Linked DNA regions of Diceros bicornis minor. The protein of the gene in region 4 purifies or fractionates together with the protein of the main gene of each other region. This does not show direct contact. Links are inferred from orthologs where the notes say so. Each region holds a gene or a part of one and is shown on either strand. Other genes may lie near its edges. The genes, in order: FLNA, ASAP1, ACTR2 and CTTN.

Region 1 (7,530 bases), on a different chromosome or scaffold from region 4:
CCCCAGCAGTGGGGGGGGGTTCCCACCAGAGGGAGCAGGGAGGGACATGGAGCCCCTGGCACTGCTAGGAGATCCCACTGTGAGTCAAGGTGGAAAGGTCATTGCAAGCAGAGCTAACAAAGGCAGCAGTGGCTGCAGGGAGGCCTGGAGGGCAATCAGCGCCTTCCTGTCAGTGTTCAACTGTAGATGGCCAAATGCATTTAGCAGGTGTAACCAAATTTCTTCCTGCCTCCCTCCCTTCTTTTCTTTCTCTCTTCTAATGAAGTAGAGTAGAATAGAAAATACCAAGTGCTTTTTGGGTAGTGAGAGAAAGTCTCCTTTTCTGGATCGTTTGTCTCAGTTATTTCTGTCAATCTGTGTATGTGTGCTTGCACAGCTGGGCTCAGGATGTCAAATGTAGTTCTTATTGGGGCTTGTGGGCAAAATGTTAAAGTGACACTGCTTTATGTGGCCTTCCCCAAGGAAGTGACAATTGAGCTACATCTGAAGCTACCAGGAAATGGGCACATAGAAGAGGAAGAGGGAGCCTGGCAGTGCCAGGGCGTGGCTGTGCCCACCCAGTTCACGAACACTTGGCTCTTTGGCTGCAACCCACTGCACGCTCCCAGACTTTGGGACTGCACCTAATTGTGCTCCTGAGAGTTCAGTACGTCTCTGCTGCCCGCTCCCAGGCCAGGCTTGGCACCCAGCAGGGACCAAATCAGCAGCAGCGGGGATACTTGCTCATCCCGGGGTCCGGGTCCCTGCCCCACTGTGGTCTTGTGGGTGGTAGGCACTCAGTGAACACCTGCAATGGCCTGTTGTGCCCCAACCCCAGAGGGCAGAATCCAACTTGCCTGGCCAGCCCAAGTTTGGGGCAAAGTCAGAAGGCCGTGACTGTGGGCGGCTCCCTGGAGGAGGTGGCTTTTCTGGCTGGGCTGAGACGTGGGCCCTGCAGACCCCGCGAGCTCTTGAGGCGACCCCACCCCACCCCTCGCGGCCCTCGCTGGGAGGTGAGGTCATCCGGGGGTGAGGGGGGGGCGGCGTCGCCAGGCGGTCCGGGCGCTGGAGCTCACGGCGCGCCCCCGCCCCCCGGCTCCTGGGCGATTTTACCAATTAAGGCTTTCTCGCCGGGCCGGGCCGGGCCGGGCCGTGCGCGGGGCGGGCGCGGGGCGGGGGTGCGGCCAACAAGAAGGCGGGCGGCGGCAGCCCATTCGCGTGGAGGCGCGCGGCGCGCAGCGGACGCCAGCGGAGCCCCGAGGCGCCGGGCGCGGGCGCGGGCGCAAAGGCAAGCCAGGCGCCACCGCGCGGTCGCCGGCCGCCCGCAGAGACAGCAGGTGAGGCCTCCGCGGCCGGGCTCCGCGCGGGACTGTCTCCGCGCTGCTCGGGGACCGGGGACGGGGGTGGCGAAGGCAGGCGGAGAGGCCCCGAGAACGCAGGCGCCGGCGCGCACCCAGGCCCAGGCCAGGTGCAGCTGGGGTGGTAAGCGCAGTGGAGGCGCCCGCGGCCCCTGTGAGTGCAGTGCCCAGGGGCTGCCTTTCCTAGTTTACCCGCGAATCTGTGTCTGTGCCCAGGAGTGTGGGAGCCCAAGGCCATGGGGGTTCCTGAGAGAGGATATCTGAGCGTTTGGCAGGATATGGGCTCGCGTGGGTGCCCAGGAGCTGGTCACTGCAAGACTGGGAAAGAAGGGCCCAGAGGGCAAGACATTGTGTGGGCTGAGGATGAGTGGCCACCTGGAAGAACACTTCGCAGCCAGTGTGCCCCCTGGGAGGGTGACAGTGGGTTCCTCACTTGCACCAGTCTTCATGGCACCAGCTGCCTTAGGCACAGGGGAGTTGGTTCTGGGGCTGCTGTGCTCCATGGGGACCAGGGCAAGGGTGCAGCCAGGCACAGGAAGCAGGGGCTCCTCGGACAGGCCAGATTCTCGGGCTGGGCCCTGGGCCGTGGGCCCTGTACCAGGTTGGCGCTGAGCTGGATGTTCCCCACTAGCCAGGATGTGAGCAGCAACGTCCTAGATTCCCATGCCCCCCAGGTCCAGGAAAAGTAGGTGAAGTCCGCTGGCAGGCCCACCTGCATGTGCTCCAGGCTGCCCGGTCAAGGTGGGAGCTCAGGCAGTGAGTGCTCTCACCTGCTGTACCTGGACTTGCCTTGCCAGTCCAGGTCTCTTCTCACTGTGCCATTCTGTAGATTTCCTCGCCAGCTGAAGCCCCCACCCCACGCCCCGCCGTGGGAGGACCTGGCCTGGTGTTTTAGGGCTGGGGGTGGGGGGTGGGGGCGGGGTGTGTCTAACATCCAAGAATCTACTCCAAATAAGGGAAAATATGAAAGAGCTGGATTTTGGCTTCCAAGGACTGCTGATCTGGGGGCTTTGGGATGGGGCGCCATCTGGTGGTGATACTATATCCCCTAGGGACAGGAACCCTCTACACCCCCAGCCTTTGTCATCCCCCAAATAGGGAAAGCCTAGGGCTGGAAGCCAGAACACCCAGCTTCTGTCCTCCAGTCTGCTAGAGTTAACTACTGGTCAGTTACTCTGACTCAGTTTCCCTGCTCTCTGAAGATATTAAGGAATGAACACAGATGACCCAGTTGGATGGCACTTAGTGGAGAGAAAATCAATTCTAGGTGTAATTCTGTCCTTGGGAATTGCTTTCCAGTGGGGCAGGGGCCAGAAGGACAACTCTCAGCCCATCTTGAATGGGGCCTGCAGCCCTCCCTCCTACCTCCACCCCAATTCCCAGCCCCTGTGGTGTGGAGTTTTCTACAGGTGTGTCTGAAAGGGGTCAGGAGAGGGGAGAGTGCGCAGGAGGTGGGCCTCAGACTGGGAAATGACTTTGGACCCCCCCTTACCCACCATTGGTAAGGAAAAACCAGTGGGATGACAGGCAGCCCCGAAGTGAGCATGCTGGAGGGCAGAGCAGATGCTGCCTGGCTCCACAGCCCTACCACGGGTCATGCAGTCACCCAGGGCTAGGCAAGTCAGCCATCTTTGGGCATGACATACTGCTGCCCCAGGGCCTCCTTTCCCACTGGTCTTTAGCAGATAACTTAATGACTACTAGTCTGCAGCTCAATCTAAGAATCAAGCAGAAGGGACAGAGACATGCCTTTCTGGAAAAAAAATGTAAAGAAGTGAACATTCTGGAGAGGAGAGGTATACAGGACTGGGAGGAGTGAGTCCACTCTGGGGATGAAGCCATGGGTAGGATGACTTCTTTTGACTGAAGAGGGTGGCAGTGAGTGTCCCCAATAGGCCTTGTGCCCCTGTGCTTTTGCTGGCCTCTGTCTCCCGAGTTATCTACCAGAAAATTAATTTTGAGCAAATAGCTCCCCATTGCCCTAGGAACACAGTCCAGGCTCCTCAGCAGGCCTTGGCAGCCTTCCATGGTCCCCCCCTCAGTCCTCAGGGTCCCCTGTGCACTACCACGACCCTGAAGCCCACCCAGACCCAGGTGCTGAGAGACTGCGAAAGCTTGTTGGAACCCCCGAGCAGGTCCCTGTGGGTCTGGAAGGGCCCTCCTGACCCTGCCTGGCCGCCTCCTGGGTCACACTGGGCTCAGGGGCCATTCTGACAGGAGAGGAAACCCCCAGTGCCCCAGGTCGACGTCATGGTGGGTCAGGCGGACACTCGCTGTCTCTGCACGCATCACACGGCGCCCCGTGCCAGTGCCTATTGGCACGTCCGGCCCCTTCCAAGGCTGTTTGCTCCTGGAGTGCTTGGCGGCCTCCTGGGCCACTGCCCCATTTCCTCCCGGTGGAGCGTGGAGGGACGGAGGGAGGCGATGGGGACCCGCGGGCGCAGGTGCGCAGGCCAGGGCCGTGCAGAGCCACCGGCCGGCCTGCGGCAGGAGGTTTGGGGGGCGGCTTAGGGTCCGGGCCCCGCCGGCAGCCGCCTCCCTGGCGTGGCGCACGCGCGCAAAGCGCTCGCAGGGGCGCCTGGCCCGGGACCGCGCTGTCCAAGGACTCGCTCTTAGAATCTGGCCCTTTCCCGCTGCTCCCGGGGCGCGGCCGGGAAACCCCAGGCGCTGGAGCCTGGGAACGGGCCGGGGGTGAGGGCGGAGTGGCAGGGGAGTGGCGGGGGCTGCTGGGACGGGGCGAAGCCCACGTGACTCAGGGAGGGTGAGCCACCCCACCCCCTGCAGGGGCCTTGGGGAGGGAAAGTCTCTTGTATGGCGTGCCCGCTGGAAGCCAAGTGGTCCAGCGCCAGACACTGCTCAGCCTTGCCTCGCTCTGGCAGCCCTTCCTCGCTGCAGTGTTTCCTGCAGTGCTAGTGTGAGACCGTGGGGTTTGGGTGTGTCCTTGCCCCCTTCCGGTCCAAACGACCCTCCCCAGAGCTGGGGGTGGGGATCGGGTGAAAACAGCTGGGGCGCAGGGGGCTAAGAGGGGCATTCCAACGGGCGGGGTGGGGCGGGTGCGGCCCCCGAAGCCCAACCCTGCGGCCCCGCCTCACTGCAGCCACACCCCTAGCTCCGCCCCACGCCCGCATTTAAAGGGCTCACTCTCTCCACAGCACAACCTCCGCTGTCTGCATCGCCCCGTGCGCGCTGAAGTGCCTGCGACTTTAATTAAAGGGCCGTCCCCTTGCCTAGGCTGCAGCACCGCCCCTCGGCTCCTCGCGCCTCAAAATGAGTAGCTCCCACTCCCGGGCGGGCCAGAGCGCAGCAGGCGCGGCTCCGAGCAGTGGCGCTGACACGCGAGACGCCGAGATGCCGGCCACAGAGAAGGACCTGGCGGAGGACGCGCCTTGGAAGAAGATCCAGCAGAACACGTTCACGCGCTGGTGCAATGAGCACCTCAAGTGCGTGAGCAAACGCATCGCCAACCTGCAGACGGACCTGAGCGACGGGCTGCGGCTCATCGCGCTGCTCGAGGTGCTCAGCCAGAAGAAGATGCACCGCAAGCACAACCAGAGGCCCACGTTCCGCCAGATGCAGCTCGAAAACGTGTCGGTGGCGCTTGAATTCCTGGATCGTGAGAGCATCAAGCTTGTGTCCATCGGTGAGGGCACGGGCCGCCCTGTGGCGCTGGGAGGGCGAGGGTGGGGGCTCCGCGTGTCCTCCCATCTTCCCTTGGCCGACCCCTCCCAGCCACCCCCCTAAGCCACAGCACTGTCCCAGGGGCCCGCGGGCCACCTGGCTTCGCGCGGGCCTCGAGAACAAAGGCGCGCAGGCAGGCCGGCCCGGCAGTGCGAACCGCTACGCGCCCCCACCCGCCCCACCCCGGCTGGCCCACGCCCAGGCTGAGCTCACATCCTCCGCAGACCACGCCCCCGCCGCTGAGCCTGCGGTGGGAGAGGGCCTGGGGCGGGGGCTTACGGGGGAGGGGCCGTGGTGGGGGACGGACGGGCACTGGCCAGGCTCTGGCCCTGCGCCCAGCGCCCCATCCCTGAGGAGGGGGAGGCCTGGGCTCTCCACCCCCTACAGCAATTTGGAGAGGGCCTTCTGGCGCCCCTGTGGTTCCTAAACCGGTTGGAGATCGTGGGTCCCATTGTCTAGGACTCTTGGCTTTTTCTGGCCCTGGAAGATGGGCCCCCCACTGGAGATGGCTCCAACCCCCAGTTTAGATTTTCCCCAGGGAGCTTAGGGGACCGGAGGGGACCATAGCTAGCAAAACGGCACCAGAGATGAGTCTGGGTGTCAGCTTGTAGCATGCTTAGACACCAAGTTACTGCTGATCTTAGACCAGACTCTTGCTCCCACTTTTGTGCATCTAGAATGCAGGAATTGGTTGGGAGGTACTCCAGCGTGCGCTGGGCTCACTGGGTTGGTGAGGCTTCATTGGCCGGGCCTACTGTAGCATCCCAGGCTCTTCTCAAGATGAGGGCCCCTCAGGCACAGGCACCAGAACTGGTGCCTTCGGGGGAATGTGCAACAGGGAGAGAAGAAGGGGCATGAGTTTTCTTCAGAATTGAAAGAAGCCTTCCAGTTGTCCATATGGCCCTGGCACGGTCCATGCTGAGCCTGAGAAAGTGAGGGACCAAAAATCAGGTGCCCCCAACGACTCAGAGGGCAGGTCTCAAGGGACCCACGTCTTTCTTTGGAATGCCATTCGAGGCTGAGGCCCACCCCCCAGTTCCAGCTTCAGTCTAGCCAAGCTGAGTCATCTCTGAGCCTTGGGTGGGGGGGCAACCGGATGTGGGGAGGCAGGCCACACCCCAGCTGTCTGGGGGGGGGTCTTCTCCTCCCTCCTCCCTTCTTCTCCTCCTCTTGTGAGCTGGCTGGAGCAGGCCTAGTTCCCAGAGCTTTGCCATATAAGGCAAAAAAATGTTGGAAAGCAGCAGTGATTAGGGGAGGGAGGGGGCAGGCTGGCCCAGGGGCTGGGGAAAGGGGGTGGGATGGGGCGGGGCCATCCAACTAGGCAGTCTCCCAACCCTGGGCCCCGGTCCTTCCCTCCCTTTTTTGTGAGAGGGATGGGGAGGGCCTAGGCTGGCCTCCTATGGACCAGGGGGAGGGCCCAGACAGACCCACCAGGGCTGATGAGCTTGATCTAGTGTGTTCCCTCAGGGGTCACAGCAGCAGGCGGGCCTCAGGCCTCCTGAGGGCTCTTATGCTGGACCCAGGACTCTGGGGGTGGGGGCCTGTTGGGAAGCCGAGGATGGTCCTGTGCCCTTGGTCTTCTCTGAACCATCCAGTCACCCCTACCCTGAAGCCGCATCTTTATCCTCCAGCCCGCCATATGGGGACTTCTGCAAGGCAGAGATGCAGAACTGGGACCAACCCCAGCCTGGGAACAGGGAGTCCACGCTGCTTTGAGTGGCTCAGCTGGTTCTCAACATGCTGCCTGTTAGATTCGGAGGCCACCTGCCATTGATGGCTCTTTTGGTGGCATCCATTCTCTTCTCAACCCCAAGTTGACTCACTAGACAAGTGTTTTCTCTTGATTATGGTGGGGGGGGCCACGGACACTAGCAGGGATTCCAAAGACAAGCCCACCCGTTCTCAGAGCCTCACCTCCAGCCCCCCATCTCTTGAGGAGGCTGAAACCCAGAAGGGCCTTGGGCGGGGCCCAGAGCCGGAGGGGTTGCCATGGTAACAGGGTGCAGAGTGTCCGCCCTAACCACTTCCCCTGTGGTGAGCTTGGTGGCTGCCTGCCTGAGTGAGGCCCAGTGGCCCGTTAGGTGGTGAGGAGGGCGGGCAGTGGCTGGGCAGGCTCTGCTGAGGCAGCAGGACTCGGGGACCCCACCCATGGCCTCTGCCACCCTAGTTCCCAAGCTGGGGCCTGGGCATCCAACCCAGGCTCACTGGCTCTGCACTCCTCTTCCTCAGGCTGGGTGAGAGAGCCCCCTGAAATGTGTCCTGCCTGTCATCCTGGCTGGCAGGCCATCCCTGCTGGTCCCCAGTGAGTCAGGGCCATGCAGCTCAACTACTGGTTCCTTTGGGCTCCCGGCCCCTCCATTGTGCCAGGCCTGCTGCTGGACTCCCAGCTTGGCTCTGCGGGGCGTGGGAGAGCACTAAGGAAGTGGGGGGTGGGGCTCACACCCTCCACCCAAAGGGTCCTTGCCCAACGCCTCCGCTTCCTCTGCCTCATGGCTGCCTCATGCCGCCCACCCTG
Region 2 (7,148 bases), on a different chromosome or scaffold from region 4:
CCTTCCTCTTCCACCTCTCCCACTCTACTGGGACCTTCCCATCAACCACAGAGGCTCACTAGCCCACCATCTCTAAAGAATCCTCTACTCTTAGCGCCCACTACCTAGACTGTCATGGTTCTGAAAAGGGTTGTCTACACTCACTGTCTCCTACTCACTCCTCAGCCCACTGCAACCTGGCTTCCAATCCCTCCTGTCCATTGAGAAGCTCTAGCAAAAGTTATCAGCCTTCTATTGTCTACTGTCAAGTAAAATGGGCACTGGCTTTCCAATCCTTATTTGACTGAATTTTCTAGGGCATTTGAGAGTGTTGGCCATTCCTTCCTTCTAGAAGCAACTTCTTCCCTTGACCTCTGGTTTTCCTTCCACTTCCCTCCTCTGACCATGCTCTCTCAGCCTTCTTTGTGGGCAGCTCTCCTCTGCCGTTACAGCGTCCCTCTAGATTCAATCTTGATCCCAGTATCTGCCCACCCTACACACCCCTCAAGGGTGAATTCATCTGCAGCCTGCACCTAAAGCTTTAACCACCAGGAAAGGCAGTATGGGGTGGTGGTTAAGACCTGGACTCCAAAACTCCTCTATACACTAAGTGTTTGGCCTTGGGCAAGTTACTCAACACTCCTGCCTCAGTTTTCTCAACTGTAAAATAGTGCAAAGCTTTTTAGTCTTATTGCTTTCCATGTCTGAACACGTACCATTTCCTCAGATCATCTGGAACCTTGTACCCAAATATGTTATGTGCTCATGCTCAGTCTTTGCTCAGACACATAGGGAGTGCCCTGTCAGTACCTGTGAATAAATGAATGAATGCTGTCCTGGATTGAGTTTCCCCAGAAACAAATCTTGAGACAAGGAATTGGGTGCAGCTAGTTTGTCTGAGAGGGGATTGATCCCAGGAAGAACAAATGACGGAGTGATGAAGTGAGACAGGGAAGCGAGGAAAAGCATAAAGAGGGAGTTAATGAGAGTTACTGCTGGGGGCGACCGGACTCCCTTCCTCTGGGCACCTCTGAGGAAATGTGTTGAAAGCACGGTAGGACTGTTGCCCCTTAGGGATGGGAGGCTTGACACTTGTCCACTGATTGGTTAGGGAGTGCTCCAGGGCTGTTGGACACTTCCAGTCTGGGCAAGACCCCACAGCCCTGCAGAAAGGCTCCAGGCAGAGAGGGGGAGAGGTGTGCACTTCAGGTAGACAGTGCCTTGGATGGATGGCGTTAAATTACAGCTGCAGGTGAGCTCAGAGGTGGGCCCAGGGGACACAGAGCTTTTGCTCTGGCTGGCAGGTGTGGACCTCCTCATCTACCTGGATAAGCCCCACCTCTTCCTTGAAACTTAGTTCCAGAGCACTCACTTCTTGGAAGTAGTTTCTAATCTCCTGCTATAGATTGAATGTTTGTGTCCCCCTCAGATTCAGAGGTTGAGATCCTAACCCCCAATGTGATGGAGTTAGGAGGTGGGGCCTTTGGGAGGTGATCAGGTCATGAGGGTAGAGCCCTCATGATTGGGGTTAGTGCCCTTATAAAAGATACCCCGGAGAGCTCCCTCACCCTTGCCCCTTTCCCCATGTGAGGACACAGCAAGAAGACAGCTGTCTGTGAACTAGGAAGTGAGCTCTCACCAGACACCACATCTGTTTGCACCTATCTTGGACTTCCCAGCCTCCAGAACTGTGAGATGCAAATTTGCGTTGCTTATAAGTCACCCCATCAATGGTATGCTGTTATAACAGCCTGAACTAAGACACCCCTCATGCTGATTGAGAAACCCTCACCCAAGCTCTATGGAGCCCATGACACCCTGGACATACTTCTCTAAGAGTAATCATCTGTCTGTTTTCTAAACAGAACTTTCTTGCTGGACTTTCTTGGAGAGCAAGAACTGTTCATCTTTGCAGATCTGGTGCTTAGAAGATTTTTGAGCACATTATAGGCACGTAACCAGTACCTTTTAATGAATTCGAATTCACCTCGCTCAGGGCCCCGCCCAGAGTAAGCGGTCCATACCGCAGGCTCCTTTTCTTTCCCTCCAACTCAGAGTGTGCCATCTGACTTAGGCGAGCACTCATCGAGCGAGCATACAATGTGATAAATACGTTCTTTAATGAACAGAAGAGCTGGGGGAGCCCAAAGGAGGGAGCAGTTAACTGGGACTGTACCAATGAGACTGCAGTTACGTCGTCTGACAGTCTTAATTACTTATAGCTTTAACTTTCCAGAACCATTAATAGGGCGTCTGGCGCTTCTTCCGTTACACTGGGCTTTCCCATTGGACCGCCTCTCCGCCAAAGCGGAAGAGACAGGGGACACAGGCACAGAGTGAACCTGCAATTGCAGTCTGGGTTGCTCCTTTCCTCCATTTGATGTATCTTTATTGAAGGTCTCCTCGGGGCCAGTGCTGTTCTTGGCACTGGGACACGGGAGGGATGGGGACAAGCAGCAGGTGACCCATGCAGGGGGAGACAGATGATAAATAAGCAACCAAATAAACAAGGTAAGTGACGTGGGCTATGAAGCAATGAAACGGAATGTGACATGCGGGAGAGGTGGGGGTGGGAGTATAGGTGCCAAGGACAAATAGATCAATGGTTGGGGAAAGTCCCCTTTGAGAAGCTGACTTCTGAGCTGTGAGCTGAGTGCCAAGAGCAGCCAAGTGGAGATTATTCCAGACAGAGGGAACAGCAGCTGCAAAGGGCCTGGGGCAGGACCCTGGACTCCGGGTGCCAAGCCTGGAGCTTGTCCCACTGCTTCTGACCGCTGAAAAAGAGTTGCAGAAAAGAGGCAAACCTGGGTCTAAAAATGATATCTGGTTCTTACTTAGAGGAGAGGAGCTGATACCCAACTTTCAGTTCCTAGCAGGTTCATTTCAAGCTTCGGTTTCCACTCACGGGCATGCTGTTCCCGCTTCAAAGTCTGATTGGGTTTCAAAGGAATTTGAAACACTTACAGAAAGCCACCAAGCTACATCCTCCAGGTAGAAAACCCCAGTGCGGCATTTCCATGGGAAACCACAATGAATTACTCCCGCTGGCCGCCTAGTCCAGGCTGGACTGGACAGAGATTTAGTTTGGTTTTTTCAAACTTTGTAAAGCCTCTCCAAACTTTTTCACAAAGCCCCACAGTGTCCTGACTCTTCGGTTAAGAACAAAATCCCAAATTCCGTGAGGTTTGTTGAGTTTCAGATTTCACCAGAAGGGGGTCTGCCATAGCCACTAACCTTTTCCTCTGCAGAAAGCAGTTTCCGAAATGCTGCAAAGAAAAATAATCACTCGGTGATTAGAAGGGAAATGAAGTTCTAAGGCGTTGTAAGTAGACACAATACTATGCACAGCACACACCCCACGGGTTAAAACTCTCCTTTCTCTAATGTCTCCTATGATAATAAGGACAATCATGGCTATCATTTATTTGAGCACTACAATGTGTCAGTCTCTGTCTAAACATTTGGTTTCCAAATAAAACCTACGAGGGCAGTATACCGCCTCAGAGGCTCAGAGAAGTTAAGTGACTTACTTAAGGTAACACAGCTACAAAAAAGGCCAAGTCCAGATTCTAACCTAGATCAGAGTCCAACGTCCATACTATCACTTTCCATACTATTACTATAGCATCCTGACCTAGAAATTTCCTGACCCCTAGCACTGGGAAAAATGAGGAAATTAGCCGAGCGGAAGCAGTGAAAGGGGGCAGCCAGGTAAAGTCATTTCTTTTATTGAAAATAGGGGAAACGGCCAGGAGATTGTAAGTCCATCCTCTGCAGGATGGGAGACAGGCCAAGGCCCTTCCCTGCTGTCGGGGGCCTTAGACAGGCACCGCCCAAGGCCAAGGATTTATCTGGACAAATCCTACCCTTCCACCTCTGGACAAGGAGGAGGCAGGCCGGGGGAGTGTGGGGCCCACGGTGGGGGCCGCCCGAGCCCCGCCGGAGTCCGTGTGCCCCCCGCCCGGTGCCGGAGACCCCGCGCGCCCCGCCCGGGCGCCGGCGGGCCAAGGGTTAAGCGAGGCGGGAGCCCCCCGGCGCGCAGCGGCCGCGGGCCGGGAATGCTTAGTCAGGATCCCGATTTCCTGTCGAAGTGTTTGGATTTCCTGAAACCCGCGCCCTCCGCCGCCGCGCGGGATCGTCCGAGCCGCTCGCGTCGCCGCGGCCTCCTCCCCTCGGCACATGGTCGCCCGCCCCTTCCTGCGCCGCGCTCGCCTCCCGCGCCTCGCCGCCGCCGCCGCCGCCGCGGGGGGCCCTCTGCGCTCGGGCAGCCCCGGCCCGCGCCTCCCGCCGCCCGCTGCTCCGGCCGCCCGCTCCCTGCCGAGAGCCGCGATCGCCCGGCCGAGGGGCCCGGGGAGCCGGCGCCCAGCCCGCGATGGAATAATGCCCAGCGGCCCGCCCGGTCCCGGTGAGTTGCGGGGCGCCCGGACGGGCTCGGCGGGGTCGCCCTGGGTAGTCGGCGCCCCCTGCCCGGCCCCCGCGCGGGGAGGCGCCGGGCGGGCTCCCGGCCCCATCCCCGGCGGGGGTCCCTGTGCGCGGGGAGGGCGCCGGGCGGGCTCCGGGCCCCGTTCCCGGCGGGGGTCCCTGTGCGCGGGGAGGGCCCCGGGCGGGCTCCCGGCTCCATCTCCGGCGGGGGTGCCTCTGCGCGGGGAGGGCCCCGGGCGGGCTCCCGGCCCCATTCCCGGTGGGGGTCCCTGTGCGCGGGGAGGGCGCCGGACGGGCTCCGGGCACCGGGCACCATCCCCGGTGGGGGTCCCTGTGCGCGGAGAGGGCGCCGGCCCCTGGCTCCGCAGGGCCAGGCGAAGCCTCCCGGGGGGTCTGCTTTGCCGAGGCGCCGAGGTGGCGCGGGTGGGGCCCCGCGTGGCTCCCCGGGAGAGGGGCCGGGACAGCGCGCCTGGTGGCCGCGGCCCCGCCGATGGGGCGCCCTCCCGGCGCGGAGGCGCGGGCGCTGGCCGCGGCATTGTCTCTCTGGCGCGGCGGCGGCAAGTTCCCCGCCGTTCCTGGAAGAGCCGGCCCGGCCCCCGGCCCCCGGCCCCGGCTGGGACGCGGCGCTGCCAGGCAGGCCCCAGGCCACCGGGAGGGGAAAAAAAGATTCCCACTCGGGGCTTAGTGTTTGTCCACGGCAAGACTGGGAAGTGGCGTGTGTTTTTCCGCTTGTACCATTTGGGGACCTGCTGCATTTTCTGAGAGCGACATGAAGTTTAAAAGAAAAAAAAAAAAAACTCGCTGGCGTCTGGTATTCTGCGGTTTCATACATCCCGAGAGTTCTTCTCGGGCATTCCTAAAGCGGTTTCCTTGAGTAATTTGTTTTTCCACTAGCGCAGGGGGACGGATAGCCAACTTCAGACCATTGCCAGCGTGATCTCGGCTTTACCTGCGCTAATCGGAAAGAACTAGAACTTTCTCCCACTTTTTCCCGTAGACTCGGTCAGGTTGTCTGGCGTAATTGATTCTGGGAGCATGGATTGCTGAGTAATGTTTTGGGATTGTAAAACATAATTCGGTGTTGAGGCCAGTTTTATGTCTGTTGCAACCTTCTCTCCAAGCCCTTTCCGTTTTTCAGTTGGAGGTCCACTGTATTGCAAGAAGATGCAGGTCTTCTGGAAGCATCAAATCTCAACAGTTTAGAAGGAAAAAGGATCTTTGGGAACCACTGTTTCTGCCCCTTCTTGTTACACAGATGAGGCTGGGGGATGTGACATGACTTACTCAAGGTCCTGTGGCCAGTCTTCAGACTCCCCAGTCCAGTGCTCCTTTCACTGTGTCAGTTTATGGTCTGTGGGCCATGAAAGGTTTGGAAAGTGTCTTCTTTGCATTATAACCTTTATTGTTTTAGTGTCTTCTGTGCTTCTCTTGTTCTGTTTTATCTATTCTTGCTGTTGTTTTTGAGATATGCAGTTATCTTAAACTGCCTATTTTGAGATATAGAGTTTAAAAAAAAAATTCCCTAACCCCTACTGTTCAGCCACTAAATGGATTTGGAGATTCAGCCACCAAATGGATTTGAAATATAAAATGGGTAGCTTATTATATAGGGAATTACTTTTCTCTATCCCATTCTTTTGTGAAAAATAGAAACTTCCAAGTCCAAAAAAGGGCAATATCTTAGCACATAATATATGGTATGAGGTTTCTTAGACTTAATTTTCAGACCTCCTGTATCTGGTGAGCTAAGTATCCCATCTATTTTCCTCCTTATTCTGATAGCTGGTTTTTCATTTTTAGTATGTGATAATGTTGGAGAGGAAAGACTTTTTCGCAAGCTTGCCATTTGGTGAAGGAAACTGAAATTCTCTCCACCTACCCAGTCCTCACCAGCCACAGTGAGCCAGATTTTCAAAATCATTCAGAGACTTGCAGGCCCAAAAATGAATGTGTGCATTCAAATGGGATCCTCCCTCGCCCCTCGGGAGGACCCACCACCCAGCTGGCTTCTCCATGCTGCACCCAGCTGGCTGAAGTCTAGAGGGGAACCTGGAACAGTGTTGTTCCTCCATTTTCCCTCCAGGTTCTCAGTTGTGTTTGACTGTATCTTGCTGCCTCATTCTCATTTTTCCATCCTGTGTTTCTTCCTCTCACTTCTGTCCCAGCCGCTATATCTGGCATGGACTCGAGAAGAAGTCTTTTCTATGGGATGCATGACTGATCCCCGCATAAGCAATAGTGACAATGACAGCTAGCATTTATTGAGCACTTGCTGTATGCCCTAGACATGATACTTCCTAAGAAGTCCCAAAGAGGAGAGGGAACTTTTCTGGGAGCCCTGCCCAGAAAGGACAGAGCTTTTCAGATTCACCTGGAGTTGAATCATTCTTTTATGTATCCAGTACACATGTGCTAAGTGGCTCCCCTGTGGGAGGTGCCAGTCCTACAAAGATGAACAGGACCCTGGGTTCAAGGCCTTTTATTTCCAGCCTCATCTTTCAGTGTCAACCTCACACGTTCTCTTCTAATTAGTCAATTCAGCCAGCCTACTTCGAACCCCTGCTCCTTGCTAAGCACTGTGTGAATGATACAGTGATGGACAAGATAGGCCTGGCCTGCCCTCATGGAGCCTGCATTCCAGTGGGGGAGCTAGACAAAAACAAGGAAGCAGGTAACTTCCAACAAATGCAAGATTGTGATTCTTGTTATCAAGGAAACACACAAGGGATTGCAATCACGACCAAGGT
Region 3 (7,330 bases), on a different chromosome or scaffold from region 4:
TTCAACAATCTTCTTTGGAGGGCCGGCCCAGTGGCATAGCAGTTAAGTTTGTGCGCTCCGCTTCGGTGGCCCGGGCTTCACAGGTTTGGATCCTGGGCGCTGACCAATGCACCACTTGTCAAGCCATGCTGTGATGGCATCTCATATAAAGTAGAGGAAGATGGGCATGGATATTAGCCCAGGGCTAATCTTCTTCAGCAAAAGGAGGAGGGTTGGCATCCGATGTTAGCTCGGGGCTAATCTTCTTATGAAAAAAAAAAACCTACTTTGGTTTGTCTATTCAAATATTTTGCCCACTTTTATTTTTATTTATTTATTTTTTAAAGTTTTTTTTTCCAAACAGTTTTATTTATTTATTTTTTATTTTTTTGTGAGGAAGATCAGCCCTGAGCTAACATCCGTGCTAATCCTCCTCTTTTTGCTGAGGAAGACCAGCTCTGAGCTAACATCTATTGCCAATCCTCCTCCTTTTTTTTTTTCCCCCAAAGCCCCAGTAGATAGTTGTATGTCATAGTTGTACATCCTTCTAGTTGCTGTATGTGGGACACGGCCTCAGCATGGCCGGACAAGCGGTGCTTGGTGTGCGCCCGGGATCCGAACCCAGGGCCACCGGTAGCGGAGTGTGCGCACTTAACTGCTAAGCCACGGGGCTGGCCCTTTGCCCACTTTTAAATTAGGTAATTTGTCTCATTATTATTATGTGTTCTTATTCTGGATACAAGTCCTTTGTTGGATATATGATTTGCAAATATTTTCTCCTAGTCTGTGCTTGTCTTTTTGTTTTCTTAATACCTAAATTAAAAGTTTTAAGGGGCCGGCCCGGTGGCGCAAGCGGTTAAGTGCGCGCGCTCCGCTGCGGCGGCCCGGGGTTCGCTGGTTCGGATCCCGGGTGCGCACCGACGCACTGCTTGGTAAGCCATGCTGTGGCGGCGTCCCATATAAAGTGGAGGAAGATAGGCACAGATGTTAGCCCAGGGCCGTCTTCCTCAGCAAAAAAAGAGGAGGATTGGCGGATGTTAGCTCAGGGCTGATCTCCTCACAAAAAAAAAAAAAAAAAAAGTTTTAAATTTCTATTAAGTCCAATTTATTGATTTTTTTTTTTATGGATCATGATTTTGGTGTCATAACTAAGCAATCTTTGCTTACCATAACATCAAAAGGTTTTTCTCCTGTTTTCTTCCAGAATTTATAAAGTTTTAGCTCTTTTATATTTAGGTCTATGATCCATTTGAATTAATTTTTATGTATGGTGCGAGGTAAGGATCAAAGTTCTTCTCTCCCACCATGCATGGATATTTAATTGTCCCAGCACTATTTGTTAAAAACATTACCCTTTCCCTATTGAATTGTTTTAGCATATTTGTTGAAAATCAATTGACCATAAATGTAAGGGTTTATTTCTGGTCTATCTATTCTGTTCCGTTGATCTATATGTCTATCCTTATGCCAATGCCACACTGTCTTCATTACTGTAGCTTTATAATATGTTTTGAAATCAGATAATAGAAGCCCACCACCTTTGCTTTTCTTTTTCAAAATTGTTTGGCTATTCTGGTTCCTTTGCATTTCCATATACATTTTAGGATCAAACTTGTCAATTTCTAAAAAGAAGAAAGCCTGCTGGAGTTTTGATAGAGACTACATTGAATGTATAGATAAATTTGGAGAGAACTATCATCTTAACAGTAAGTGTTCAATCCTTGAATATGGTATGTTTATTTATCTAGATCTTTGGTTTCTCTCAACAATGTTTTATAGTTTTCAGTGTATAGGTCTTACATTACTTTCATTAAATTTATTCAGATTTTTATGATGCTCTTGTGAATGGAATTGTTTTCCTAATTTCATTTTGAGATTGTTCACTGATAGCATATATAAATACACTGATATCTGTATGTAGATCTTATATCCTATGACTTTGCTAGACTTAATTTTTGTTAAATCCCCCATTTCTCATGTGTAAAATGGGGATATCTATCTGGCAAGATTTTTGTGTGGAATAACGTACGTAAACTCTCAACTGAAGGCTAGAAATGAAGCCCCCCTCCTGAAAAATTCAATTACGTAAAATCGGGGGTGGGGTGGGGGGGTGGGCACAGTATTTTGAGGAAAGTAAAATGCCAGGATTCACCTGGTGTAAATGGCAGGAACCATTCACCAATAGTATTATATCTGAATTTGCATAATCAAGGAGTTTTGCTACATTTTCATTTGTGTAGTGAATAGATGTTTGCTATTTTCTATCATCTGCATGTATTGTTTTTACAATCAGAAGAAAACAACAAATGTTATTCTTAAAAAGTAAAAATCAGGGTCCGGCCCCGTGGCTTAGTGGTTAGGTGAGCCTGCTCCACTGCTGGTGGCCCGGGTTCGGATCCTGGGCGCGCACCAACGCACTGCTTGTCCGGCCATGCTGAGGCGGCGTCCCACGTACAGCAACTAGAAGGATGTGCGACTATGACATACAACTATCTATTGGGGCTTTGGTGGGAAAAAGGGGGAAAAAAAGGAGGAGGATTGGCAATAGATGTTAGCTCAGGGCCGGTCTTCCTCAGCAAAAAGAGGAGGATTAGCATGGATGTTAGCTCAGGGCTGATCTTCCTCACAAAAAAAAAAAAAAAAAGTAAAAATCAGTAATCCATTTAATTTCATAAAGAGGAAAAGTAAAAGGACATAGAAATGCTTGCGTTCAATTTGCTGAGACCAATTAAATGTGCTTCCAGGAAAACTGCACAGTGCTAGGCACTGGGGTCACAAAAATAAGATATATAATTTATGAACTAATACACAGTTCAGCAGGCTTCTGAAGAACCTCGACGACTATTGAAGCAGGGTTGGGGAAGACATAGTTCCCTGAGGCTTCCTTCCCATCCTAACCTCTCAAACTTCCAACTACCACTATGGCAGCTTTACTTTGATCTATTTTATATGTTGGGGTTCCATATAAGATTAAATTTGAATAAAGCATTCTATGCCTTTATAAAGGTTTGAAAACCACTGGTCTAATACAAGAACTAAGTGAAAACGGAGAGGCAGCCTAGTATTATAATACTGAATGGGGGGTTCATAATCCAAGTTTTATTCTAGTCATTGTACATGTACAGCCATGTGGAAGGCACAATTCTAGTTCTCACCTCTCGAAAAGGATGGCATTTTTTTCTAGATGAATTTTAATGTCATTCATCCATAAATATTTGTTGAGTTTAACAAGCACAATAATGTTATTCATATATCCATTGTAAAGTAATAACAAAGGAAGAGAGTAAAGAGCATCTTGAGGGTTATCAGCAAAGTCTTCAGAGAGTGACAACTGGGTCTTAGAGCACCAGTCGAAGTCTCCCAATTGATTAAAAAGAAAAAAGGTAGGGGCATCACAGATGGAACTGCACATTTAAAAATATGGAATTAATAATAAATAGCTACCAGTGAATGGATGCTTACTCTATGCACAGAATTTTATCCTCACAACCACCCACGGAAGTAGAGGTTATTACACCCATGCACAGACAAGGATATGCCCAAATCAACAAAACTCTTGAGTAGCAGGGCCAGATTTGAAACTGGGGTTGTCTATTTCAAAGCCGAGGCTCTAGGTTCAAATGGGTACATATACTTAAGAGGTGTGAAGCCACACGGTGCTGCTGGAAGAGGAAAGTGGTGAGTTATAAGGCTGGAAATGTAGGCACCCACTCTCATTCACTTGACTAAAGACAATTTGGGCAAAGAAGAGTTGGGCTGGAATTGGAGGTATCGGTATAAATGCATGATTTCAAATATGTGTGTGTGGGTGTATCCATTAAGGCTCTGTCCACTGAAAAGGCCTAGAAAGCAAGAGCACACCAAGCCATGTTCAACCGTGGGATGGGCAAGCACCTCCAGGTTTGCTTCCCCACACGGCTGGCTTTTCCGCCACATTCCATTGCCATCTCGCCACAGACCCGGTGTCCTTCACCTGCCTGCGCCTTCTGCAGCAGGATGAGAGGCGCCCTCAATTCCAGACACGCCTGAGGGAGAAAGTCGCAACACCCTCCAGGTTGACTGCCATCAACGCCCGGCGAAGCCCGGGGAACAAAACGCTGAGAGGAAGAATCCCGGGTGGGCGGCGTCGGTGACTGTGGGGCTGGAGCCGGAATGGAGCTGTGGGCGGGGCCTTGGCGCTTCTCCGTTTCTTATAGGAGCTCACCGCTGCCAGTCTCGGCCTCCTCCCACCTGTCCCCACATCTTCCGCATAGGCCGTCAGTCAAATGGCGGGGGGGGGGGCGGAGGAGACTTCCGGTTGGGGGGAGAAAGTTGGGACGAGGGAGGGGCCGCGAGCGCGGAGGAAGAGGAAGAGGAAAGGGCCGGGCGGCGGCGGCGGCTGTAGGTTGTTCGGCGGTGGTGGCGGCTCTCTTCCGGGCGGACGATGGACAGCCAGGGCAGGAAGGTGGTGGTGTGCGACAACGGCACTGGGGTAAGCGCCCGGCGGGGAGCCGCGGCGGCCACAGGCCCGGCGGGGATGTGCGGGGGGCGCGCGGGCCCTCGGCGTCCGGGGCTGCACCCCTGGGCCCTCGGGCCGGCGGGATGAAGGGGCGCGGGCCAGCGCTGCCTGCCCCCACGGGCGTGGGGAGTTGGCGGGCCCGGTCCGGCTCAGGTCTCCCGGAGCCTCCCACCCCGGCCGCCTTCTGGGTCAGGGCGGCGGGCGAGGCCGGCGCTGGGTGGGCATGTCACCTGCTGCCCGGCAGGGTCGGCTCCGCGCTCCAGCGGGGACAATTTGGCTAAAGGGCCGGAGGGGTAAAAGGCTGGGTTTGTGTGTTCGAGAAGGGCTCTGTTCCCCACGGTCGCTGGTGTGTGAAACGGAGAAAGACCTAGAGGCCTTCTTCTTCCTGTATAGTTGAAGGTAGCGAACGAGAGGCAGGAAACGAGTTTAAAGAAAAAAAGGGAAGTGCTGTCATGCAATGAGCCTCAGCCCTTTCGCAGTGTTAGAGGGTTATGTTGTGTGTGGTTTTTTTTTTTTTGAGAGAAGGGGAGGCTAGATAGCAGCACATCATTTACTTTTTGTTCTGCGCGCTGGGAATTTGGCCCAGGGGCAGCCCCGCAGAGACCAGCATGTTCCATTGAATGATCTTGGGAGATCTAGGACCCCGCAAGGCCGAAGGGTTAATTCCACTGACCTTGGGGGAAGGTAATCAGTTTTGGTCTCCCCCCTTCCTTTTTTTCCTTAGGTGCACTAAGATTCTAAAATGCAAATAATTGTAAAAATCTGAGTAAAACACTTTTTTAGAAATTATTTGAAAGTTATCTCAAACGCCCACCCCCTTTAAAAAATGTATTTTGAGGGGCCGGCCCGGTGGCGCAAGCGGTTAAGTGCGCGCGCTCCGCTGCGGCGGCCCGGGGTTCGCTGGTTCGGATCACGGGCGCGCACCGACGCACTGCTTGGTGGGCCATGCTGTGGCGGCGTCCCATATAAAGTGGAGGAAGATGGGCACCGATGTTAGCCCAGGGCCGTCTTCCTCAGCAAAAAAAAAAAAAAAAAAAAAGGAGGAGGATTGGCGGATGTTAGCTCAGGGCTGATCTCCTCACAAAAAAAAAAAAAATGTATTTTGGGCAGCAAAGTCAGCAGATTAAAAGACGGAAATGTTATTTATTTTGGATGAGTTCTGTAGTGATCATTTCCCCTTCATTACAGTAATGTCGAACCGTTTTGGAGTTGCATATTGTGTGACTTTTCTCCCCTGCCTTCCATAAATGTGACATATGAATTAAAATAGATTTTACTTGAACTTTAAAACACTTCGGAAACTGGATTGTTGAGGGGGAAAAAAAAGCTAATATTCACTACCATAATACTTCCCTTGATTGAATTTATTAGAGATTTTTACAAGCAATAATTATACTAGCTTTCTGAACTAAGTTAAAAATGAACAAGAGTAAGAAGAGTGTTATAATGGGACATCCATACAAAATAGAATACTTAAAAAAGGCAGATTCACTGCTATGGAAACATGTCTTAACTTAAAAAAAATTTTAGAATGAGCCTATTTATGTGTGTTTTCTGTATTAAAAGATATTTATATGTATGCAAACTTGTATCTGTATATGAAAGTTTTGGAGGGATGCGTAAGGAATGTTCATATGGTTACCTGTGAGACTAGGAATAGGAAGTGAGGGAAGATAGGAAGGACTTCATGACTTCCGAATTATTGGAAAAATGTTCTTTGTTTTGTTTTTTAGCAAAACATGTATTAAGCTATCTTTAAACTAAAGAAACTATAAATGTGTATTACTTTTACAGTTAAAACTCAGTTAAAGGTGCTTTTTAAAGAATTTAAGTTCCAAATTGACTTCTAAATAAATTTAAAGCTTTAAAAATTGAATTTAAAATATTTTATTTTGCTAATATTTTGTTTTGTCAGGTATTCTCTTTAGAAATCTGAGCCAGCTATATTTTATTGGATTCTTCTTTTTTGAATGGTAATGAACCCTGTATTTGTAGTATAATGAGCTTTTCAATATTCACTTAGAATAGGACTGTTAACCATGAGCTCATTTTTATGTTACTATTTTATTATTTTAGCTGTGTTGAAAGCTGATTGTGTATTATTGGTTAGTCTCATGTCTAATCCATAATTTAAGAATCTTGTTCCTTAAGACAAGGGATCAGTTACTATGACATAAATAGAAAAAATGTAGTTAATTCAAACAAAAATGTATTTGGTGTTACATTTCTAGTTGTCTTTAAATTTTATCCAGATTTTCTATAGACACGATCGACTTCAAATGAAGAAAGAGCTCTGATATAATACGTAATCAGGATGCTGTGATATTTCTGAAAATTTAGAGGATTAGGAACCATTTAGAGTCTATATTCTATTTCTTACTGCTTATACTTCATAGTCATCCTGATTTTATTTAGTTACCTGAAGGTATAGTGATTCCTTTACAATGAAATATTAAAGAAGATATTCAAATTTAATTTCTAAAAACTTGTGGGATTAGTTGTTGCCCTAAAGCAACTTGTCTCTTACACATTTTAGGTCTTAAAATTACAGGCAGTTTGAGAAGTTGATGATTTTTTAAACTCCTCTGGCAGGCCCTAAGTCGAATGCTCTAAGAGTAGGTGAGATCTTATGATCACATGCCAGATGTTGATCCTGCTTCTCTTCTCACTAGCCCCCAACTAGAGCAGTGTCTCGTTAGAGCAGCCTACAGGAGGGAAAGTCATCCTATTCCAGTAATTTATGTGCTTCATCTTCGTAATTGTTCAAACCTACTCCGTAAAATAGCCACTGAAAGTGGCCAGATAGATGAAAATCTGAAGGTCTCCTTAGGTTTAGGTGCTTTTCAAGAGTTG
Region 4 (7,056 bases):
CAGTGGAATATTATTCAGCAATAAAAAGGAGTGAGGTCCTGACACACGCTACAACATGGATGACTCTTGAAAACATCATGCTCAGTGAAAGAAGCCAGACACAAAAGACCGTATATTATACAGTCTCATTTATAGGAAATGTCCACAACTGGCAAATCTAGAGACAAAAGTAGATCAGAAGGGGCCAGCCCGGTGGCGTAGCGGTTAAGTGCAAGCGCTCCACTTTGGCAGCCCAGGGTTCGCAGGTTCGGATCCCAGGCGCGCACTGATGCACCGCTTGTCAAGCCATGCTGCGGCGGCATCCCATGTAAAATAGAGGAAGATGAGCACAGATGTTAGCTCAGGGCCAATCTTCCTCACACACACACACAAAAAAAAGATCAGTGGCTGCCTAGTGTTGGGGGGAGGGGGTAACAGTGTTTCTTATGAGATGATGAAATTAATCTAAAACTGATTGTGGTGAAGGTTGCTCACTAAATGGTTGGAAATTCTAAAATCTAGGGAATTGTATCCTTTAAATGGGTGAACTGTATGGTACGTGAATCATATCTCAATAAAGTTGTTACCAAAAGATACTGTTCAAAAAAAAGATAAGGTAGGGCTGGCCCCGTGGCTTGGCGGTTGGGTGCGCGAGCTCTGCTGCTGGCAGCCCGGGTTCGGATCCCGGGTACGCACCAACGCACCACTTCTCCAGCCATGCTGAGGCCGCATCCTACATACAGCAACTAGAAGGATGTGCAGCTATGACATAGAACTATCTACTGGGGCTTTGGGGGAAAAAAAAAAAAGAGGAGGATTGGCAATAGATGTTAGCTCAGAGCCGGTCTTCCTCAGCAAAAAGAGGAGGATTGGCATGGATGTTAGCTCAGGGCTGATCTTCCTCACAAAAAAAAAAAAAGATAACGCCTCTATCCAGCACCACTAATAGTAAACCTTCGTTGCAAATGTCACACGTACCAATCAACTCACAAGTGTGAGGTCATCTTGCACTGCCGTAAAAACAGAGTGAAAAACTCCTCCATAGGAGAGTGTTTGAAATGATAAAACCCCCCATGCAGAACTAGCTTTCCATTCCCCTCTCTCTGCAGTGGAGCAGAAAACCAGGGAGAACACAAAGCCATCTGAGGCCCACTCCCTACACCACGATTACTCAGAGGAAACCCCGCCCACCCCTGTCTGGGCACACTCACTCAGTTTACTAAAAGCACTTGCTTGCACACTGACAAAAGGGAAGGACCAGAGCTCTGATAGGACCCTGAGCCAGCTCCCGGCTGCCCCAGGACACTGGCAGACTGCATGAGGCAGTACCCGGCACTCACAATGACTCACTCACTCAACCATGCCCCTTCTGAGCACCTACTGCACAGCACCGACCAAAGGTCTGAATCACCAATTACGTTCACTTAAAAGTGTTTTAAGAATAAGTCCAACAAAATGCTTCCACTACAAGTCATCTAGGGGGTGGGGGTAACTTCCAGTTACTGGTGAACAGAGTATCAAAAAGGACTCTGCACCCCCTTGGCTCCTTCTTCTAGAGTGTCTCAAAGTCGCCTTTAGGATGCTTCTTCGCTCCTTGAGGATCTGGGAGCACTTTTCCAACCAGGGAAGAGAGAGACAGGATGGCCTCCATGCAGTGGGGCAGGGACTCCTCCCCCCGCGGCCAGACACAGGGAGCAGGGCCCACCGCCAGCGCCCTTCCCAGCCCTCGGCCAGCCGGGGGCCAGGCTGAAATCACGCGATCAGGACCTGGGGGATTAACCGGACACAGCACCGTGGGGCCAGTCGACCCTGAGCTCAGGCGAGCATCACGGGGAGGGAGCGCTCACTGGGGCCGCCGCCAGAGCTGCGTTCAGCGGAAGATGGACTCCTCCCCAACAGGCCCGACACGTCCACACAGCGGCGGAGGAAGCCCTGCACTCTCCCCACCCGAGACCTCCAGCGGGGATCAAGCTCCCGCTGCAATATTCAGGCGATCCAAATCAAAGAAACAGAGAACCCAGAAGCACCTTTCTGGTGATTTCCAAAACACCGAGAGGAGGGGCTGCTCCAAATAGAGAGCCTCTCAGCCGCCTGCAGCTGCGCGTGTCGCTGCATTTCCATTGACCCGATTGCAAAACCTGCCGGGAGGTGCGGGCCAGGTGCGGGCGCAGGAGCCGGGCTACAAGGCCCCGCCCGGGCGCCAGGGACAGCCCCTCTCCTACCTCGACCCCTCGTACTCCTAGACTCTCCCCCTCGGCCCTGCACCCTCTTCCCCTAAACCCCCGATGCCGACCCCCTCCCCGCAGGGCCCCTCTCCTACCTCAACCCCAGCGCACCCCCAACCCCTCCCCCTCGGCCCTGCATCCCCCTCCCCTAAGGCCCTGGGCCCCGACCTCCTTCCCCTAGATCCCTGACCTCCTCCCCCCAAGGCACCTGGCCCCCCTCTGATCCTCGGCCCTCCACCTCCTTCCCCTAACCCCCCGATCCCGACCCCCTCCCCGCAGGGCCCCTCTCCTACTTCGCCCCCATCCGACCCTCGGCCCTCCGCCGTCTTCCCCTAGTCCCCTGGGTCCCGGGCAGCCCCCTGAGACTCCAGACCCTCTCCCCGTCTGCTCCCCTCCTCTCCCTCCTGCCCGCAGCCCCGGCCCCTCCCGCTGGAACCCCTGACCCCTCAGACCTGCCCCCTCCTCCCCGCCCCCCGCAGGCCCCAGCCCCGCCGCCTCAGCCCCGGCCCGCACCTCCCGGCCCCCCTAACCTCGGCCCCCGGCCCTCCCCCCCCGGCCCTCCCCGCGGCCCCCGCCCCCCCCGCCCGGGGAACCCTCCCCCGCGCCCGCCCCGAAACCGCGAGCGGAAGAGCGGCTAGACCGCCGCGGCCGCCGCTTCCTTCCCGTTTCGGGGCCCGGGGGCGCCCCGGGAGCGAGCGGGGGGGCCGGCCCTGCCCGCCCGGCGGAAGCCGCGCTCGCTCACCGCCGCCTGGGTCGGTCCGGGCCGCCTCAGCTCTGCCCCACCGCGCCCGCCGCTTCCAGGCGCCCGGCTCCACTTCCGGTTCCGCGGGCGGGGGCGGGGCCGCATCCGGGTCCCGCCGAGGCCCCGCCCCCCCCCGGCACGCCCCGCCCCGCCCCGTCAGCGGCCGCGGGAGCTCCGGGAGAGCGCGCGGTGGGAGCGGCGTCGAGCCCGGGCTGCCTGAATCCCCGCCCCCTGCCGCCTCCCTCGCCCACGTGCACGGGCAGCGCCCACTGCCCACCGCCAGCGCAGGCGCGAGCTCTGCCGGGGAGCGAGCCTGCAAAGCCCGCCTAGACAGAACGCATTCGCATATACATACACAGATGGACGGAGCGCCCACCGTGTGCGGGCGACAGTGTGCCGAGATGCAGACGATCCGAGGTGGTACTCCAGGATTCATAGCGCGGCCCGGGGTGAGAAAGGAAAGTGAGCCAGGCCTGTGGCCAGTGCCAGGCGCTTGAGCCATGAGGACTAGGAGAGGTGACTGTGACGGCCAGTCAACTGGACGGACGAGCGTCTTCATCATCCACCCGTCCATCCCTCCATCTATCACCCACACGTCTATCCATCCTTCCATTCTCCGTCCATCCATCCGTCATCCATCACCCACACATCTATCCATCCATCCATCATCATCCATCCATCATCCATCACCCACACATCCATAAATCCATCCACCATCCATCTTCTCCACCCAGCCTCCATTCATCCATCCATCCATCCACCCACCCATCATCTATTCATTCATCCAGCAACCATCCATCCTTCCATCATACATACATACATACATCACCCACACATCTATCCATCCATCCATTCTCCATCCACCCATCACCTATCCCTCTATCCATCACCCACGCATACGTACATCCATCCATCATCCATTCATCCACCCAAACATCCATCCATCCATCCATTCATCATCCATCCATCCTTCCATCCAGAGAATGCCAGATATGCATCAGAGATAGAAGGTCATGGGGGGCAGCGCAGTGGCGTAGTGGTTAAATTCACACGCTCTGCTTCATCAGCCCAGGGTTCGCAAGTTCAGATCCTGGGTGCAGAGCTACCCACCACTCATCAAGCCATGCTGTGGTGGCATCCCACATACAGAATAGAGGAAGATTGGCACATATGTTAGCTCAGCAACAATCTTCCTCAAGCAAAAAGAGGAAGATTGGCAACAGATGTTAACTCAGGGCCAATCTTCCTTACCAAAAAAAAGGAAAAAGAAAGAAAGAAAGAAAGAAAGTCAGCAGAATAAACATGGACATTGCCTTCAGGGACCTTGCAGCCTAGAAGGAGAATCAGGCATTAATCACAGAGATATATAATTAGGAAACAAGATAAATGCTATGAAGAAGTCAAAGGTGTCATGAAATTAGATTGAGGAAAAGGTGGGACCTGAACTCATCCAGGAGATCAAAAAAGGTTTCTTTGAGCAATTAACATTTGTGCCAAGATATGAAGGCCAAATACAAGTAAACAAGATAAGGAGGGAAGAATTTTCCAGGTGAGAAAACAGCACGTGCAAAGACCCTGAGATGGGAAAGGTCTCGCCACAGAGGAACTAAGGGATGTTCAGTGTAGCAGAAGTGTGGTGATGAAGCAGGGCAGTGTGGTGGCGTGGGGCCAGGTCATGTAGAGCTTGGCAGGGCACAGCGGGGACCTTGGTCTTTATTCTAAAAGAAATGGGAAGTCCTTGGAGGAAGTTAAGTGGAGGAGAGACATCATGAAGTCTGAATTGTAATGAAATCCCTCTAACTCCTGTGGAGAATGGATGGGAAGAGGGCCAGGGAGGACCTTAGTCCAGCCAATTCAGGCAAACTGGTGGTAGCAGGTAAGATGGAGAGAAGCGAGTAGATACAAGAGACATTTAGAAAGTTAAACTGTCAGGTTTGAGGATGGATTGGGGGTGTGGGGTGGGGAAGGAAATGTCAGGTGTCAAAGGATAATATTTTTAAAAAAGAAAAAATCATGATTTTCATACACGCATAAATGAACACATGTCAAAGATTTTATTTCACTTAATAATGAATGAAGCAATAAGGTGTTACAACTTATTAAGAGGAGAAGTCAAAGAAATGCTGAAACGAATTTGCAAAAACTGGTCTATGCATAGGGCAATAGTCAATTGTGTGTCACTGGACACAGCTAATTTGTGTCTCTATGGACAAGAATTATTAGCATTGCTCTCTGTTTTCTACAAGTTTACTTCTACGTCCGCAGCGGTATGAAATAGTCTAGGCAAAAACAAAGGCACACGTCCCATAGAATGAGATGATTCTCAGAGGCTCCAGCGTTCTGTTGAAAGAATATCCAGTAATCAGTTTCGTCCATTCTAAAGTCTGAAATTTTTCATTACAAAAAGATGACTCCGAGCATCTAAGTAGATGCTGAGATGTGGAAAATGGGCAGAGGTCGGGGAGAGACGCACCAAGATGGAGGGAGGAGAAGAAGAATACGGTTTTGGACTTGGAACATTTAGGGGCCTGTGGCACATCAAGGTGAGGTCCGAGAAGTGATGCTGGAGAGGTGGCTTTTGAGCTGGGGCTTTCAGAGTAAGCAGGATGAAGACATAAAAGGTAGGAAGGTGTCCCAGGAAGAGGGAGAAATTCGAGCAAGGGCACAGAGGGAGGAGAGGAGGGGAACATCGAGGTCGGACACATGGAAGTGTTTTCACGTCTGTCATTACTGCACACAGTGCAGCGCAGTGTGCAGTCAAGTATCAAGCTGGTTGCTGGCTGGACTCAGGGAAGGCTCCCTTTGGTGGCATCTTCCATAGAGGACTTGATTCATCTGAGGACAGGAACAAACGTTGTGCACAGAGGCTCTGGAGGCTGAGGACCTGACTACATATCCCAGCTCCACCATCTACCAGCTGTGTGGCAGTGGACAGTCACTCTGCCTTTCCCAGCCTCGGTCTCCCCATCTGTCAGCTAGCACCTGCACCCCAGAGCTGTAACATGAGGACTGCATGCTGTTTGATGAGCCCAGGGCCTGGCACGCAGGAAGTGCCCAATAAGTGTTGGCCCTTAGTTGGCGGTAACAGGAAGAGAAAGCCCGTGAGGCAGGCAGGCCGGGTAAGGTATGTGCATTTCAGTTAAGCAGAGATGCGGGAGATCAGAGAGGCTGGGTGCCCTACCTCGCCCACACAGCAAGTGGGCGAGACCCCAGTCCTGACCCACACCTGTGGTCTGGGGGAAATGATTCAGAGCATCCTCTTTCACTGGGAAAACTGCAGGTACCTCAGTTGTGCCCCACGTTTCCCCACCTTTCCTTCTCTGACCGCCAGTCCAACTTGCAGAGGCGGGCTCACCCTAGGCTCCAGGGAGCATCCCACGATCCAGGCCTCAGCCAATCAGCACACTGCACTCCTCTAACGCTGATTGGCTCCAGAGAAGGCACGTGGTTCAACCAGGTCCAGTGAGACTTTGCTGAGGCTTCTGGGTGACCCGGAAGTTCCATTCTTTCCGGGAAGTGAGGCCCAGATGAGGGCAGGAGGGAGGCTCAGCCAAGGGCATCGTCTTCCTTGGTGAGGGGAGAGCCCTCAGGAGCAGAGGAGCCGGGACCAGGCGGTGCCTGCTGATCCCCAAGACCAGGTCCTCCTTACCCCCTTCGCTTCTACGAGCCGGCACGTTCCCTGGCCGCCCCTTGCCATGGTCCTAACCAGGAGTCCTAACGGAATACAAAGGGGCCAGTGCGAGAGGCCAGGACGATGAGAGGGGACATCTCTGGGAGGCGCAGGTGACCCAGTTCCTGCACCCGACATACCTGTAGGGCTGTGTGCATTTCCAGTGGCCGCTGTACCAAACTACCATGGTCTAGGATTCAGAACAACCGAAATTTATTCTCTCACAGTCTGGGGGCCAGAAGTCTGAAATCAAGGAGTCGGTAGACCTGCGTCTCTTCTGGACCCTCTGGGGGAGAAAGGTTTCCTGTCTCTTCCAGCTTCTGATGGCTGCCAGCAGTCCTTGGCTTGCGGCTGCATCATCCAGTCGCTGCCTCTGGCTGCACATGGCCTTCTCTTCTCCTCTGTGTGTCTGTCCCAAACTCCCACTGCCTCTCTCTCCA

Evidence for each region.
Region 1: the proteins of CTTN (region 4) and FLNA purify together in Homo sapiens (affinity purification with mass spectrometry; 3 studies listed by BioGRID and IntAct, with this or other methods). This does not show direct contact. The link is inferred for Diceros bicornis minor from reciprocal best matches to the Homo sapiens genes CTTN and FLNA.
Region 2: the proteins of CTTN (region 4) and ASAP1 purify together in Homo sapiens (affinity purification with western blotting; 6 studies listed by BioGRID and IntAct, with this or other methods). This does not show direct contact. The link is inferred for Diceros bicornis minor from reciprocal best matches to the Homo sapiens genes CTTN and ASAP1.
Region 3: the proteins of CTTN (region 4) and ACTR2 purify together in Homo sapiens (affinity purification with mass spectrometry; 3 studies listed by BioGRID and IntAct, with this or other methods). This does not show direct contact. The link is inferred for Diceros bicornis minor from reciprocal best matches to the Homo sapiens genes CTTN and ACTR2.

What each region holds. Positions count from the first base shown.
Region 1 is NC_080781.1:138,289,002-138,296,531, forward strand, and holds the start of FLNA (filamin-A), read left to right. Parts: upstream 1-4,510; 5' UTR 4,511-4,604; coding exon 4,605-4,977; intron 4,978-7,530. UniProt on the Homo sapiens protein: Promotes orthogonal branching of actin filaments and links actin filaments to membrane glycoproteins. Anchors various transmembrane proteins to the actin cytoskeleton and serves as a scaffold for a wide range of cytoplasmic signaling proteins.
Region 2 is NC_080760.1:44,858,874-44,866,021, reverse strand, and holds the start of ASAP1 (arf-GAP with SH3 domain, ANK repeat and PH domain-containing protein 1), read left to right. Parts: upstream 1-4,132; 5' UTR 4,133-4,384; intron 4,385-7,148. UniProt on the Homo sapiens protein: Possesses phosphatidylinositol 4,5-bisphosphate-dependent GTPase-activating protein activity for ARF1 (ADP ribosylation factor 1) and ARF5 and a lesser activity towards ARF6.
Region 3 is NC_080751.1:22,560,000-22,567,329, reverse strand, and holds the start of ACTR2 (actin-related protein 2), read left to right. Parts: upstream 1-4,326; 5' UTR 4,327-4,402; coding exon 4,403-4,450; intron 4,451-7,330. UniProt on the Homo sapiens protein: ATP-binding component of the Arp2/3 complex, a multiprotein complex that mediates actin polymerization upon stimulation by nucleation-promoting factor (NPF).
Region 4 is NC_080770.1:3,893,397-3,900,452, forward strand, and holds the start of CTTN (src substrate cortactin), read right to left. Parts: upstream 3,017-7,056; 5' UTR 2,947-3,016; intron 1-2,946.